Notamacropus eugenii: one gene and its partner. The protein of the gene in region 2 binds, or shares a complex with, the protein of the main gene of each other region. Links are inferred from orthologs where the notes say so. Each region holds a gene or a part of one and is shown on either strand. Other genes may lie near its edges.

Region 1 (7,059 bases), on a different chromosome or scaffold from region 2:
AAGTGCCCTGCTTGTCTTTGTCCCTGTCTGCTCTCCTCTGAGCATTTTCAATGTCACTTGACATTCTTCTCTCCTTTAATTCCCACACCTAACCTTCCTTTTTTCTTTGTTGACAATCAACAGGAATTTATGGAGCACCTGCTAGGTGTCTGACATGTGCCTTGGGCTGATGACAGAAACTTAGGGGCTGGCCTAGAAAAGAGCCTATATTCCAAATCCAACACAAAGTAGTTGTATAAGTATTTATAGGATAAAGATACAGATAATGTCAAGAAATACAAAGTAGTTAAATACAGGGTAGTCTGGAAGGGGAGGGTACTGCTGCTGTTTAGTGGGGGGAATGAGGAAAGACTTCATAGAGAAAGTAGTGTTTGAGCTCTGTCTTAAAGGAAGACTGAGAGAGCCTCCCTGACGTAGAGGTGAAGAAGGCTGACATTCTGGCAGTGAGTACCAGGAAGAGCAATGGCCCAGGCTTGGGAAGTGGAATATGAGGGGGCTTGAGGTCCAGTGAGGCTGGGGTCAGGATGTGAAGGGTTTTTAAGGTTAAACAATTCATTATTTTATCCTAAAGGAAGTGGGAGGCAGGGACTCTGATTGTTTGAGAAGGAGAGTAACAAGGTCCCATCTGTGAGACTTGAGGCAGGAAGACCAATCAGGAGGCTGCTTCAGCAGAGCCTGAGCTGAGGTGGGAGTCAGGTGCTCTGGGGCCATTCAGACGGCAGCCCATCATTTTAGAAGTGCTGAGAGTCCTGCAAAGGCAGTACATCATTTCATGGGTGGGGGACAGGGGCTGGGCCTCCCAGAGACTGCGATTTTCCTTGTGTTCTCTTAGCACCTTCTCTGGGCTCAATGTTCGCTGCAAACTGACCTTTCTCTCTCTGAATTTTGCGTTGAGGTTGTCGTTAGTATTGTGCGCTCTTAGTCCATTGGCCTCCTTCTTGTGGCTGCTCCTGCTGTCACCACCTCAGCCGCCCCCACTACAGCCAGAACCAAAAACAGTATGACCAGTATGTCAGGGGGAATTCTCAGAAGGCACTCATGAAGCACTGAGACCTATGGAAGAGGGGGCACATGCAAGAGGCAACAACTCAGTAAGAAGAGATGCCTTGGTCAAAGGGATGTACTTAGGACTACATGGGGGCTGGGCAGCCCTCACTTTTCCCTATTTGTGGAGGGATTAGGCATATCCAAGGCCTGATGACCAAATCAGCCCCATCCCCCAGCAGGAGTTTGGGGGATATTATTGATTGATCATAGCGGTGGGGGTGGGAGGGTGGAAACTGGGCTTTTAGGTTCTGATGGGCTAATTAAGCAGCCCCAAGGTGGGGGGAAGGATCCAGGTAATGAAGAGGCAGAATTGTTATGATCACCATGCAGGAACCCCAGAGTAGGTGGGCCCTACGTTGTGTTTTCCCATTTATATTTTTGGAAGCATTATGTGTATTGTTTTCTTTGTTCTACTTACCGTACATCAGTCTCTGTTTCCTTTTTTTCTTATAACACTATATTATGTTGTATTAAAGTACCACCCTTTGTTTAGTCATTCCCAAATGACAGGTATCTGCTTTGGTTTCAGTTCTTTGCTAGTACAAAAATGACCACTATAAATATTTTGGTGCATATGGGGATCTTTCCTTTTGTCTTTAACCTCTTTGTGGGGGGGCATATTTCTGGCAGTAAAATCTCTTGAGTCAGAGAATGAGCATTTTCGTCACTCTCTCTGCATAATGCCATAGTGTTTCTAGATTGGTTGAATTATTTCATAGTGCTCTTAATAAATGCCCATCTTTTGTCATTTTTGCCAGTTTGCTGAAACCCCTGAGTTCTTTTGATTTGCATTTCCTTTTTAATATTAACTTGGGGCAGTTTTTTTTTTTTTGGCATGGTTGTTGATGTTTTAAAATTTTTTTGAAGATTGCGTATTTTTGTTTTTTAACCACATATTTATTGGAGAATGACTTGTGGTTTTATATGTTCCCTTAGTTGTTTATATGTTTTGCTTTTAAACACTTCTCAGAGATTCTTTGCTCCCTAACCCATCATTTCTTTTATTTTTATTCTAGTTCTATTGATTTTGTTCATGGAAACACTTTTCAATTTCATGTAACTGAAATTATCAGTTTTATCTTTTTTGAATCATGTATCCTTTATTTGCTAAGAAATTATTCTTTAGACAGCTGTGAAAGGTACCTGATCTACTTATAATCTAAATTTTTAGTAAAATTATCTTTAACATTTGGGTCATCAATTTTGAATTTATTATTGGTATAAGACAGAGGTGTCAAATATGTGGTCCATGTGGGAGGCCTGAACCAGATTAAAATGTCATTGGGAAATATTTTGCAAAATGAATAAAAATGTAGTAAAACAGTTAATGTTAATATGTAGTTTTCTAAGCCAGTATGCACCTACTGGGATCCTTATGTGTAGTTGTTTCTATTTGACTTTGATGTCACTGGTATGAGATGACAGTAGTGCTTTTAAAGTTCTAATGGCTGTGTATATGTTATCTCACTTAAGACACTGGTCTAAATCTAATTTCTTCCAAACTGTTTTCCATGTTCCCCAGTACTTAATATCAAACAGGGAAGACTTACCTAGGTAAATTCTATTTTCAGGTTTATTGAGGTTATATACTTCTCTGATTCTTCCTTGGCTAGTCTTTTCTGTTGATCAACTTGAACGAGTATTGATTTTGACAGTTACTACTTTCTAATGTAGTATTGTCATTCTTATTATATTGGCAAAGCCCAACCATGAGCAGCAAATATCTGTTATTTGTTTTTTCTTGAAATAGTTTTGAACTCTATAGAGTTGATTTTGTAATCGTATCCCTAGTCCTCCACACAGTGCTTCACAATACTTAATAAATGCTTTCTCATTTATTCATTTTACACAAATATTGACTGTAACTCTAAGATATCTTATACCTTTCATAGTTATTTTGAAAGGGGTTTATTCTTGCCGTGGATTTTGTCATTACTATATAGAAATATTGTTGATTTTTGTGGGTTTATTTTGTAGCCTACTTATTGAAGCTGTTAATTATCTACATTAATTTCTCTGCTGATTCCCTAATGTTTTTTAAAGTAGATTGTCATGGCATCAGCAAATGAAAGTAATTTTGTCCTTTTTGGCTATCTTTATGCTGTTACTTTCTTTCTTTGTTGGAAACTTTCTAGAACTTCATCAAATAACACCATGTAAAGGGAACATCCTTGCTTTGCTTTTATATTTATTGAGAAGCTTTTGTATATATGGTAAATAATGCTAGCTTTTGGTTCTAGATAAATACTTTAAATCATATTTTATACTTATTCTTCGTAGGGTTTTTTATTATAAGTAAGTGCTATAATTTGTCGCAGGCTTTATCTGTAGTTATTGATATAATATGATTTTCAAATTTTTTTTAAAAATTTGATTAATTATATTGTTTTCTTATGATGAGCCATCGTAATATCCCTGGTATAAATAAAATATATAGGGGATAATTTCTTGGATAAATTGTTATTCTTTTTTGCAAGGATTTTATTTAAAATTTTTAATTAATATTTGATGGTGGTCAGGTCTTTTGATTTGTCATGTTTTCAGATTGTGATTCTTAAGTTGTCTCTGTGCATATCTATATTTAAGGTTAATGGCTTTGACTAATGTACAGATTGTTTGTTCTTTTAACATTTTCACCTTTTGCTATTTTTTCCCCCCAAGATGTTCCCCCATTTAAGAATTTTTGTATTCTAAATATATTAATCTCTCTTTTCCTTCTTTGGAAAAACTCTCCATTGTGTATTCATTAAAAAAAAGAGAAATGAGCTAATTTCTGCATTAACACATTTTTGGCTATATTAAATGACATTTTTTTTCTAATGGATTTCATTTTTCTGTTGAAGAATTCTTGAAATCCATGCATGCTCTCTATATTTAATCAAACATTGGTTCCTTTTTCTTGTAATGTTTATATACTTTTTTAGGACTTCGTACTTACATTCCTTTTAATTTTAGAATCTTCTCTCTGGATTTATCTATTTGTACTCTTGGGTTTTTTTTTGTTTTGTTTTTAGCTTTTCTCTTTTTAAAAATTTGGGAATTTCAGCCCTTTTTTCCACCTACATCTGACTTTTTGACTTTCTGGTCCAAGTTGCAGAGTTGCCCTGGTCTCCCTTCACCTGGAGTGATTCCATGTTCACCAGCCTGGACCTTAAGCGAAGTAGCCTTGGAGGGCTCAGTAGTTACCCCAGGGACTTTGGGCTTTCATCCTTTCCTTTCCCAGCTGGGCTGAATCAGCATTTGCTGCTTTTTGCAGTGATGAGGGGCTGGTGGGGAGGTTGTTCTCAACTATCTCTTTAGCCTTTGGGGTTCCTGTACCTAGGCAGTGTGTTTCCTCCCTTCACCCTAACCCCCCCCTCCCCCCCGGGGGCTCTTGACCTGCCATTGGTAGTTGCTACATGAGTAGCCCATTTTCTCTTTTTATCAAACATTTCCCCAATATTTTTTGCACCTTTTCTTTTTTGAAATTTTCTTTGGAGGTGGCTCAACCTCCTGCCCATATACCTCATTTTTGCTGTTTATGTGATATGAATTTTCATTTCTTTGGAGATTTTTCTGCTTCATGCCTTGGCTATGTAAGAACACTAGTAGAATGTTAGTATTAAAACATAGATCTTTGTTTCTGGGAGAAGTTTGGGTCACAGAAGGAACTTGGCAATTTTTCAAAGACATCCAGTTTCCTTTCCTCCTCTTGTTTAATTATGAGGCCAACTCATTCATTATCCATTTGTACTGTCTGTCATATATACGTACATATCCACATACATATGTATACATAACACACGTATGCATATACATACACACTGATGGATAAGCTCTGTAGGTTGGCCATCTAACCATATGTCAAAATTTGGACAGTAGATGTTATTCATAGACTTAGTTTTTCCTACGTGCATGGTCAGGCCAAACTTGTTTGAGTGGTTATGAATCTCTTCCAGGAGGATCTGCAGTGCTTCGAAGACTTGATTCAAATAGCACCATGTCACCAGCAAATAGGAAATGAGACTTCACCATTCACAGGGAATCTCTTTTAAATTTGGACTTTATACAAATCTTCTCCATTACAGTGATACTTGAATACTTTTGGTGAGCGTATATCACCCTGTTTTATGCCTTACTTGATGTTTAATGTCATAGTGATTGTTGAATAAGGCTATTTCTGTTACATCTTTCAGGGAAACTTGAATGATTTTGATGTATGGGTGGGAGTTATTTTGTGGGAAGAATTCTTTTAAGGTGGCATTTTATTTTACCAAATCAAAATAAAATTAATATTTGACAAATAAGCCCAGGAGGATCTCGTCTTCACTATATCTTTCATCAAATGCTAGAAAACAAAGAACATAACCCATGGTAAAGCAGTGATTGCAAAAGCCTGCTCCCTCCTGACTCCACTGAGCCTTCCCTCAATGCAGATCCTGAGGAATCTCATGGAGCTTTTGTATAGATGAAATTATCACCATGTCTTTGGTACCTATTCCTTCTGGATTCACTCTTTTATGCTCTCCTAATTATGCAGCTTCAGCACAGATTTCATTTTATGTATATGTGGTCCAATCTGGCTGCTTTTCCAAGCTTTTTTTCTGTTTGGTGCCATTTCTGCCTCCTCTGTCAGACCACCTGGGATTGTTCTTGAAGGTGAAAAAATGTCATAAAATATTTTGCAGATATTTTCTATTTTTCTTCTGTTGTCTTCCTATTTTCATAAGAATGAAAAATTTAAAAAATTTTTTAAAATGCCCATGAGTTAACTCACTTTGCTTATTAGTTGATTCCCTTGCCAAACTTTTTAAAAGCTGATTTTACTCCACTTACTTTCTCAAACTTTATAAAATAGTATTTCTTATAATCATAGCCTTTTTATGACCTTGGGGAAGCCATCCTATCGCTCTGCGCCTCACTGTTCTCATTTGTAAAATGAAGGAATAGGACTAGATGACTATCAACATTCCTTCTAGCTCTACTTCTATGAGCTTGTGATTTTTGGGAAGGATTTTGCAAATAAGTGTATTCTAAACTGGTATTGTCTTTGGCTGCCTATCTCTGTTCACTTGGCAAAGAAATCAAGTTTTTGTTGATTAAGTTGCTTTTTAGGCTTTTTGGTTCTTCGTGTTATGGTGACTGATCTACACTAGTTAAACTAATGTGTAAATTATTAAAATTGGTGCCTGTCATTTTTCCTGTCAATTACTCATTTTTCATGATCAATTACTTGTTCAGATACTTCAGATTTGAGTTTTTAAAAATTGTATGACAAGTTAATGGTCTGACTATAGTGAGATAACTGATTCAAGGCTGACTTTACCACATCCATAGTGAATCTTTTCAGATCTATTAAAATATAATCAATTATATGTATTTTCGGTAGTATTATTCAATTGATTCATTTCTAGAATAAAGTATTGATGAAATAAAGATTTTAAGCTTCTGAGACACAAGTCTTTAGCCTCTGTTATTTTTTCTTCCTGACCCATATTTTGTGCATATTCCTCAACATTTTTATTCATTTGACAGAAATAAAACAAGTTAAATATTGGTGGTAGAAGTTGTTTTAATAGGATTATACAATTTAGCTTTGGAAGGGACTTTAGGGAAAATCTAAAGTCAGCTACCTTAGTTAAGGAAGCTGAGCCCCAGAGAGGTTAAATGAGCATTCTCTTCTCCCATTTCACCTCCCCACTCCTTTATAGCATTCACCTCCCAGTGACTTCACAACCTTTTTCACAAGATAATTTTGTTAAATACAGTAACCAAATCATTATCTACTTTCTGATGTAACTGGAATATTATAAAAATAAATCATTTCTTTAAAATATTGTCTACTTTCTAATATAAAACAGTTATCTCTTTTCGAGTTGTTAGTCATGTTTATTTAAGGTTACACTAAAAAATATTTTGACTTTTTCTGACATGATCTATTTGCCTGTAGCTAGCTAGCTCAGCAAACAGCACATGCTTATAGCACACCTACTATGTTTAAGCCCTATGCTGATATCTGGGATTATAGAGATC
Region 2 (7,281 bases):
AGCTGGACTATAAAGTGTGTGAACAGAGGTAATAAGTTCAGAAAGGTAGGCTGGATACAGATTGCCAAAAGCTTTAAAGTCCAAAGAGAGAAGTTTGTATTTGATCCTAGAGGCAATAAGGGACCAAATGAAGCTTAAGCAGATGACTATCATTGCTCCTTTAAGAATATCTCTTTGATAGCTGTGTGGAGAATGGATTGGAAAGGGGGAAGACATCTGAGGCAAGAAAACTAATTAGGAAGCAATTGTAATCATACAGTTAAGAGAGAATGAATAGCTGAACTACATGATAGAGCAGGGGGAAAAAAAAGGATCTGAGAGATGTGGAAAAAGGAAAAAACAAAACAACTGACTAGATGGGAAAAGCAACTCAGAATCATAGAATCATGCATCTAGAGCCCTAAGAGATTTCTGAGGCCATCTTCAGAGCCAATCCTCTTATTTTGGAGATAATAAACTCAAGAAAGTGAAGTGATTTATCCAAAAGCATAAAGAGGCAATGAAGTGTTTCTTGAGGATAACTAAGAGGCTGTAAACTAGGGACTAAAGGACTGGGGGTACCCTCAACAAAAATAGGAAAGCAAGTTAAGTTTGGGGAAAGATAAAGAATTATGTATTGGAAATGTTTAGTGTGAAGTGCCTTTATTTGGATTATTCAAGTCAGACATATCCAATAACCAACTGGCAATTCTAGACCAGAGAATTTTAAGCTCCCTAACAGCAAAGAGTTTTAATTATTTATATATATAATACTATATACTGTATATAATTATATATATAATATATAATATAGATGTGTGTGTATATATGTGTGTGTGTGTATACGTATATATAAAACACCAGCATCTGGCGACTAGTTCAGTGCTTTGAACATGAAAAGGCTCTTAACGACTACTTATGGGACTTCCTTCTGAGGAATCGGTTGGACTAGATGGCCACTGAGGGTGAGGTCCCTCCAAAGTTGAAGTTTTCTTGAATCAAAATCAAATAAAAATACTAGCAATATGTGAATTCACATATGAAAAGGAAATAAAAGAAGTCCAACATTCTTTATTTTTTGGGATGGGAAAGGGTTGAAGGTGTCTTTGAAAAAGGGTACAGAGGCAGTGGACACCACTGGAATACACAGGTTCAAGGTCTCAGATGGCACTTATTTATGTGATCTTAGCCAAAGTCTTCCCTCACCAATGCTCCTTATAACTACAAGGTGATGGGCCTGAAAGCATCCGCAACTGGTATGGTAAATTTCCTCACTGTCCCAAAAATAACATACTCTTTTCCCCCTCACCTGGAACTGCCTGTCTCCTTACCAGTTAGCCAAAGAAATCCTATCTAGATAAAGTCCTACCTCTAAGCTACAAGGCCATAATGGTAAAAACCACTACACCTTGCAAATTAAAAAACAAAAACACTGCTAGACTCTTAATTCCCGCTCTACCTGTGTGATCTTGAAAACATTGCTTTAAACACCACCAAGCTAAAGTTTAATCAGTAAAGGGGTTTTAGTCAAGTGAATTAAAAATATCCCTTTATATCCTATAACCATTGCTTTTTTCAAAGATTGTCCTCATGCAGAGTCTCTTCTCACCTCCTTAAATTAAACACCACCTTCCAGCTGCTGGTGCGCCCCTTACGTCCCGTGCAGTTAGACCTAAGTTTGTAGGAAACGATTTTGTTTCGTCTCTGAATCCCCAAGTTCTCATGAAGTAAATGCTTGTGGATTCATTTGAGCCACTCACTACCAAAATAACCCCGTGTAAATCACTTAACCTCTCAGAGCTCCTTTTTCCTTTGTAAAATAGGTATATAAACGTCTGCTTCGCTGAGCTGTTTTTAACCAAACGGGACCACTAACGTACAAGGTTGGGAAACATTAAAGAACCAGCATCAATACCGATTTTTTGGGCTATGACGACCACCTCTACACTCTAAAATGAGTTTCATTCAGTTCTGACAAAACGGCGGCAAAAGTCAACAGCGATCCTATGCCAAGGTGTGCGCTAAGTACGGGAACACCAAGAATGTTTTCCCTCCAGGAGCATTCGATGAGGGGTTGGGGGGGCACACGAACACCTCCGTATAAACAAGAGTTGGGGGGCACACGAACACCTCCGTATAAACAAGAGTTGGGGGGGCACACGAACACCTCCGTATAAACAAGAGTTGGGGGGGCACACGAACACCTTTATATAAACAAGAGTTGGGGGGGCACACAAACACCTCTGTACAAACAAGAGATGGGGGGGTGCCGAGACACAGAGGGAAAATGTTCGCACTAAAGGTACGAGTTAAGGCTGGCGGGTCTTAGAGGAGAGTCGGGGGGTGCCAGGACGTGAGGAGGAGGAGGAGGAGGGGGAGGGGGAGGGGGAGGGGGGGGAGGGGGAGGGGGAGGGGGAGGGGGAGGAGGAGGAGGAGGAGGAGGAGGAGGAGGAGGAGGAGGAGGAGGAGGAGGAGGAGGAGGAGGAGGAGGAGGAGGAGGAGGAGGAGGAGGAACACCGCAGGCACCGGGAGGGAAAATGCACAGTCCCCAAACCTTCCAAGTCTCACTTTCCTCCGGGGGCCCGCAGGGACGAGCCTCTCGGCAGGGGGTCCAGGGGGCCGCCCGACTGGGGCGGGGGGGGGGGGCCCAGCTCCCACACCCACAGGCCTTCCACGGGGAGGGGCCGCGACCCCCGCCGTAGCCGGGGCGCCGCGAGGGGGCGGGTAAATCGGGGGGGAGGGGGCGGGGATGTTTACAGAAAAGGGCAGGGGCGAGCACGCCGAGCGCCCTCCCCACAGCCGGGAGCCTGCAGCTCCGCTGGCCCTTTCCCTGCCGAGAAATCCCCCGGGAGAAAAAAACCCAAACCGCGCCGAGATCCCACGTCCCCAGCTGACATCGCCACTCACCTCCCACTACTTCACGCAGTTTCTAGAGCGTCGCGGATAAACCGCGTCTATGGCCGCCGACTTCCGGCCGCCTTAGTCAGGAAGAAGAGCCTCCCCTCCCCGTCTCCCCCATGGAGCGCCTTCTGATTGGCTCCCGGAGCCGTCCGTTAAGGCACTAACCCTCCCCCCACACGGTCTGTTTAGGGGCTGGCGCGGCTCCCACGCCTGCGCATGCTCCCTGGGACTTTTGCGGGACTGAAAGTTCTTGGGGGGAATTTTTCCAGAGAGGCAAATCAAGGGAACCTTTTGTCGAAAGTCACGGCTGATACGGCCGCTAGTATTTAAAATCGGAAAGAAAAATAGTGGGGGAAAAATCATGGAAAGGAGATACTTTGAAAAATACTTTAAAATGTAAAAATTCAGTAATTTAAAAAACTTTAAAAAAACAGTAATTGTTCTTCTAGCTCTGAAGTTTGGTACACACTAGACACACTTTTGTTAAACTCCTTTGAATTCCGTTGAGACCCCATGAGAGGCGGGTCCCCGCAGTCGGCATTCTCCCCATTTTATGGAGGAGAAAACAAATCACGTGACCTGCCTGTGTTCACACCTTTAGGGTCGAAGGCAGCCTCAGACCCTGAAATTCACCAGTCCTTTCCATTACAGGTAGGCGCAGCTGTCGCAGTGTGCAACATAAAATAGGTGCTCCTAGAGCTGTGGATCCCAATTCCTCCCATGGGTGGTCTCTGCCTTCAAGGCAGAGGTAGAAATCAGGCTTGGAGTCAGCAAAGCCTGAGTGCCAGTGTGGCTTCATGCGCTAACTGGGCAAGGGTGGGCAAGCCCCTCAACCTCTACCTCAGTTTCCTCGTCTATAAAGTGAAGTTGTCTCCCAGGGTGGCTGTGAGGATCCAGTGGGAGGACTGTAAGGTGCTTAGCAAATACTACACAAATGTTAGCTATCATTATACAACCCAGTAGGCACCGTTCAAAACCTCTAGGTGGTCCAGTGGGTAGTGTATTAAATTATCCTAGGGGTTCACAACACATTTCTTTTTTGTTGTTCCTGGTGAAAAGGATTCTCAGGACAAACAAACAAAAATTGGCAACTACTTCTGTAGTGAAAGATGACCACCAATATAAAATGCAATCCAAGTGGGGGAATCCAAAAAGATATCCCAGAGGCTGGAAAAGCAGGGAAATCTAGTAGGGGATAAAAATGTAGTACCCCAGGGGGAGTCAGTCAATAAAAGTGAGAGAAATCATTGTTAATAATCAATGATTTGGGGCCATTCCCCCCTTTTTTCTTAAGTCCTGATTTTAAAAGTTCAGTCTCTCAAGGAGTGTTATTGATAATGAGACTGAACTTTCTTGTTCAGACCCTATGTGGTTGGAGAAGTTATTTTGCACTGGGTGAGGAATCAGTTCTTTGAATAGATTGCCCAAGGCAGTAATTTAGGAAGGAAGTGACATAATCAAAGTTCCTGGATGAGCCCCCTCCTTGAAATCCACATAATCTCACTGTTAGCTAATCAGAATTGATGGCTACCCTTGTAAACATTCCTCTTCCAATGGGCATACAAGCTTGAGCCGCAACCAAGATAATCTTTGGTCCAAGAGAAATAGGTAAATGACCATCTTTTACTAATAAACATGCTGGCATTATTAATAAAATGATTAATTACCCGGAAATTACATCTATGAGGCTGAGTGATAGGAACTATGCTAAGCATTTGTGTTCATCCTTCATTGCCGAAGAAGACCATGCTGTCAGAGAAATGATGATATGACTGCATTTGACTTTGTTTTGACTGAGGGAGGGTGGTGCAGGTCACCAGCCTATCTTCTCCGGAGCCATCTGAATCCAGTGACCAGATATTCATCAGGGTGACTGGAGATAACCCAAGATGCACTGGGAGATCTTGGCCCCTTTAGGCCAAAGTCTATGCAGGTACCCACTTAGGATGAGCACTGGGCATACAAAGAAAGACCAAAACCCAGTCCCTGCCCTTCAGGAGAGGTTGGCTACCACAGAATTTCAAGGTATAGGGAAGACCTGAATTCCTAAGACTATGGCCCACAAACCCTCAATGATGTATTTACTTTCAATAGTCACCCAGAGTATATGATAAGCTCAAAGCAAAAACATTGCTGAAATATAATTTTAAAAAAAGTAGCAGCTAAACATTTCCATAAATGAACAGTTCAAACTTTCCCACTAATAACCGACGTCAATGGGAAGAGTTAACACAAACAGAGATCACAAATAGGAAAGCTCATATAGGAAACACATGTGAGACCAAGGCACTCATAGGGAAGGGAAGCCAGAAAGGGATATTTACCTCTCCAAAAGCCTGCAGATCTGTTCGTTTTGGTGCTGCTTCTACTGCTCTTGGTGGTGAAGTTTTGACTGGATGCTGTTGGACTTTCCTGGATTCTTCTTGTCTGTGCCTTGTCCCACTGGTCACTACTGGACACTGCTTAACTGCAGCTTGCACCTTCTCCAGCCCCTGAATCAAATAAGTCAATATATAAGGAGGTACTTTGCAAATCTTAAATTGTTAGGCTAGTGCTATTGTTATTTTTGTTCTGGGCAGGAACCTTGGCCTGAGGACCAGCAGAAGGAATCCCCCATGCTGCTCCCTCAGAAACCCAGGTCTGAGGCCAGCTGTGTCCTGAGTAAGAGATCCTTAACTCCACATGCCAAGAACAAAGAACACAGGAAGCAAATGCTAAGGGTTAGTATTTTTTGCCCAAATTTTTACTGCCACCACATTTAGTCATTATTATGCTTATTAATAGGCTGATAATACACTAATATCATCAACCCCTCTAGGAACAAGCCAGCAACCTGATTCCTAAAGGTCTTAAGTCTCATCCCAGTGCTCATGGAAAGTTTCCTTCCTTCCTTTGCTCCTGAGGAGGTGGCTTTCTGGTGAGTCTCCATAACTGGCACTTTGCACTGTTCTTGAGAGAATGTTCAGAAGCCTGCCTTAGTTGAAACACAAGAGCAGGGTGAAGGCTTGGGTCTCTAGTGCTGCGGGCTTTTATGGTTCTGGTGAAGGGAGTTCCCAAGTTATGTCTATGTTCTGACTGGTGATTAGTTACCTAAGCTACTGATGAAATTATCCATTACAGAACTACCAATCAAAGTTTTAGTTTCCTAATGTCATTACTAAACGTTGGGACTTTTGGAAGATTTGGGACAACATACTTGATGCAATTTGCAGGTACTTAACTGTTACTTACCAGATTTGGGGAATAGTCATTAGTGATTACTTGCTGCTCTTTGTCCTTTTCTAGAAGATAACAATGACTTCAGGAAGATGATGCCATGACTTGAAAGTGAACTGGATTTAAGTGAGGGAGGGATGTGCAAAGTCACCAGCCTCACTATTTTCCTCTGAAGCCATCTGGGTCCAGTGGCATGATATAGATGGCCCCTGGAGATGGCCCCCAATCATTTAACAGATTTGTGGGCCAAACTATACCACTCAAGTGCTTATCTTATTACAGGGAGAACAAAATAGCTTATATATGGACTATTTAGTCATAAAATGGAGGTTGAAAACCAAATGGAGTTGCTCAGCCTAATATATTTATTCCTAATACATCAATATACTTTCAAATATGTTCTCAGTGAATTAGGTTATAAATCAGGTAATGGTTATTATTTGTGTGAAAGTCATTAAATCATTAAATATTTATTAAGCACTTAATGTGCCAGTCACAGTGCTAAGTTCTAGGGCAACAAAAAGAGACAAAAGACAGCCTGCCTTCAAGGAGCTTACAATCTATTGGAAGAGGTAATATGAATACGAATGTGTACAAAGGAAGTTATATATATGCAGAATAAATAGGAAATAATTAACAGAGAAAAGGCACTAGAATTAAAAGATTTTAGGAAAGGCTTCCAATAAAATAAAGGACTTAAAGGAAGATAGGGACGTCAATAGTTAAAGCTGAGGAGGAAGAAGTAGTTCTAGGGAAGACCAGAAAAAGTTGAAGTCATACAAAGTCTAAAAGTCAAAGTCATGCCCCACCCTAGAAATTGTAGGTGTGTGAATTCCTCAATTTAATTGGAAGAGGCCTCTCCAAAACAATGAGTGGGCCTTAGGCTACTTTCACTTTTATCCTTATCTACTCGGCTACCTAAGACTCCCTAAGGTATAGGCCAGAGGATGACTGAAATGAAGCTAATCATAAGGCTAAAGGAGGAGGGAGAAGGGACTTTTAAGTGAGGAAAAATTTGATAAAAATAATAAGATTTGGTGCCCTGACTGGAAGAACTCAGTAGACGTCCAAGGGTCTTCATGTCCTGCATCCAGACATTCTGCTCCCTTTTAGTTCCTTTTTGTGTGTTTTCTTCCCCCATCAGCTGGTGAGCTCCTTTCCTTTTCCTTTTTTTGTATCCTCCTC

What was found. The genes of interacting proteins can lie anywhere in the genome.
Region 1: MED7 (region 2) and MED13L share a complex: the UniProt entries of both Homo sapiens proteins name them as parts of the mediator complex. The link is inferred for Notamacropus eugenii from reciprocal best matches to the Homo sapiens genes MED7 and MED13L.

The regions. Positions count from the first base shown.
Region 1 is NC_092875.1:29,411,351-29,418,409, forward strand, and holds the start of MED13L (mediator of RNA polymerase II transcription subunit 13-like), read left to right. Parts: upstream 1-4,045; 5' UTR 4,046-7,059. UniProt on the Homo sapiens protein: Component of the Mediator complex, a coactivator involved in the regulated transcription of nearly all RNA polymerase II-dependent genes.
Region 2 is NC_092872.1:386,117,635-386,124,915, forward strand, and holds the start of MED7 (mediator of RNA polymerase II transcription subunit 7), read right to left. Parts: upstream 3,022-7,281; 5' UTR 2,887-3,021; intron 1-2,886. UniProt on the Homo sapiens protein: Component of the Mediator complex, a coactivator involved in the regulated transcription of nearly all RNA polymerase II-dependent genes.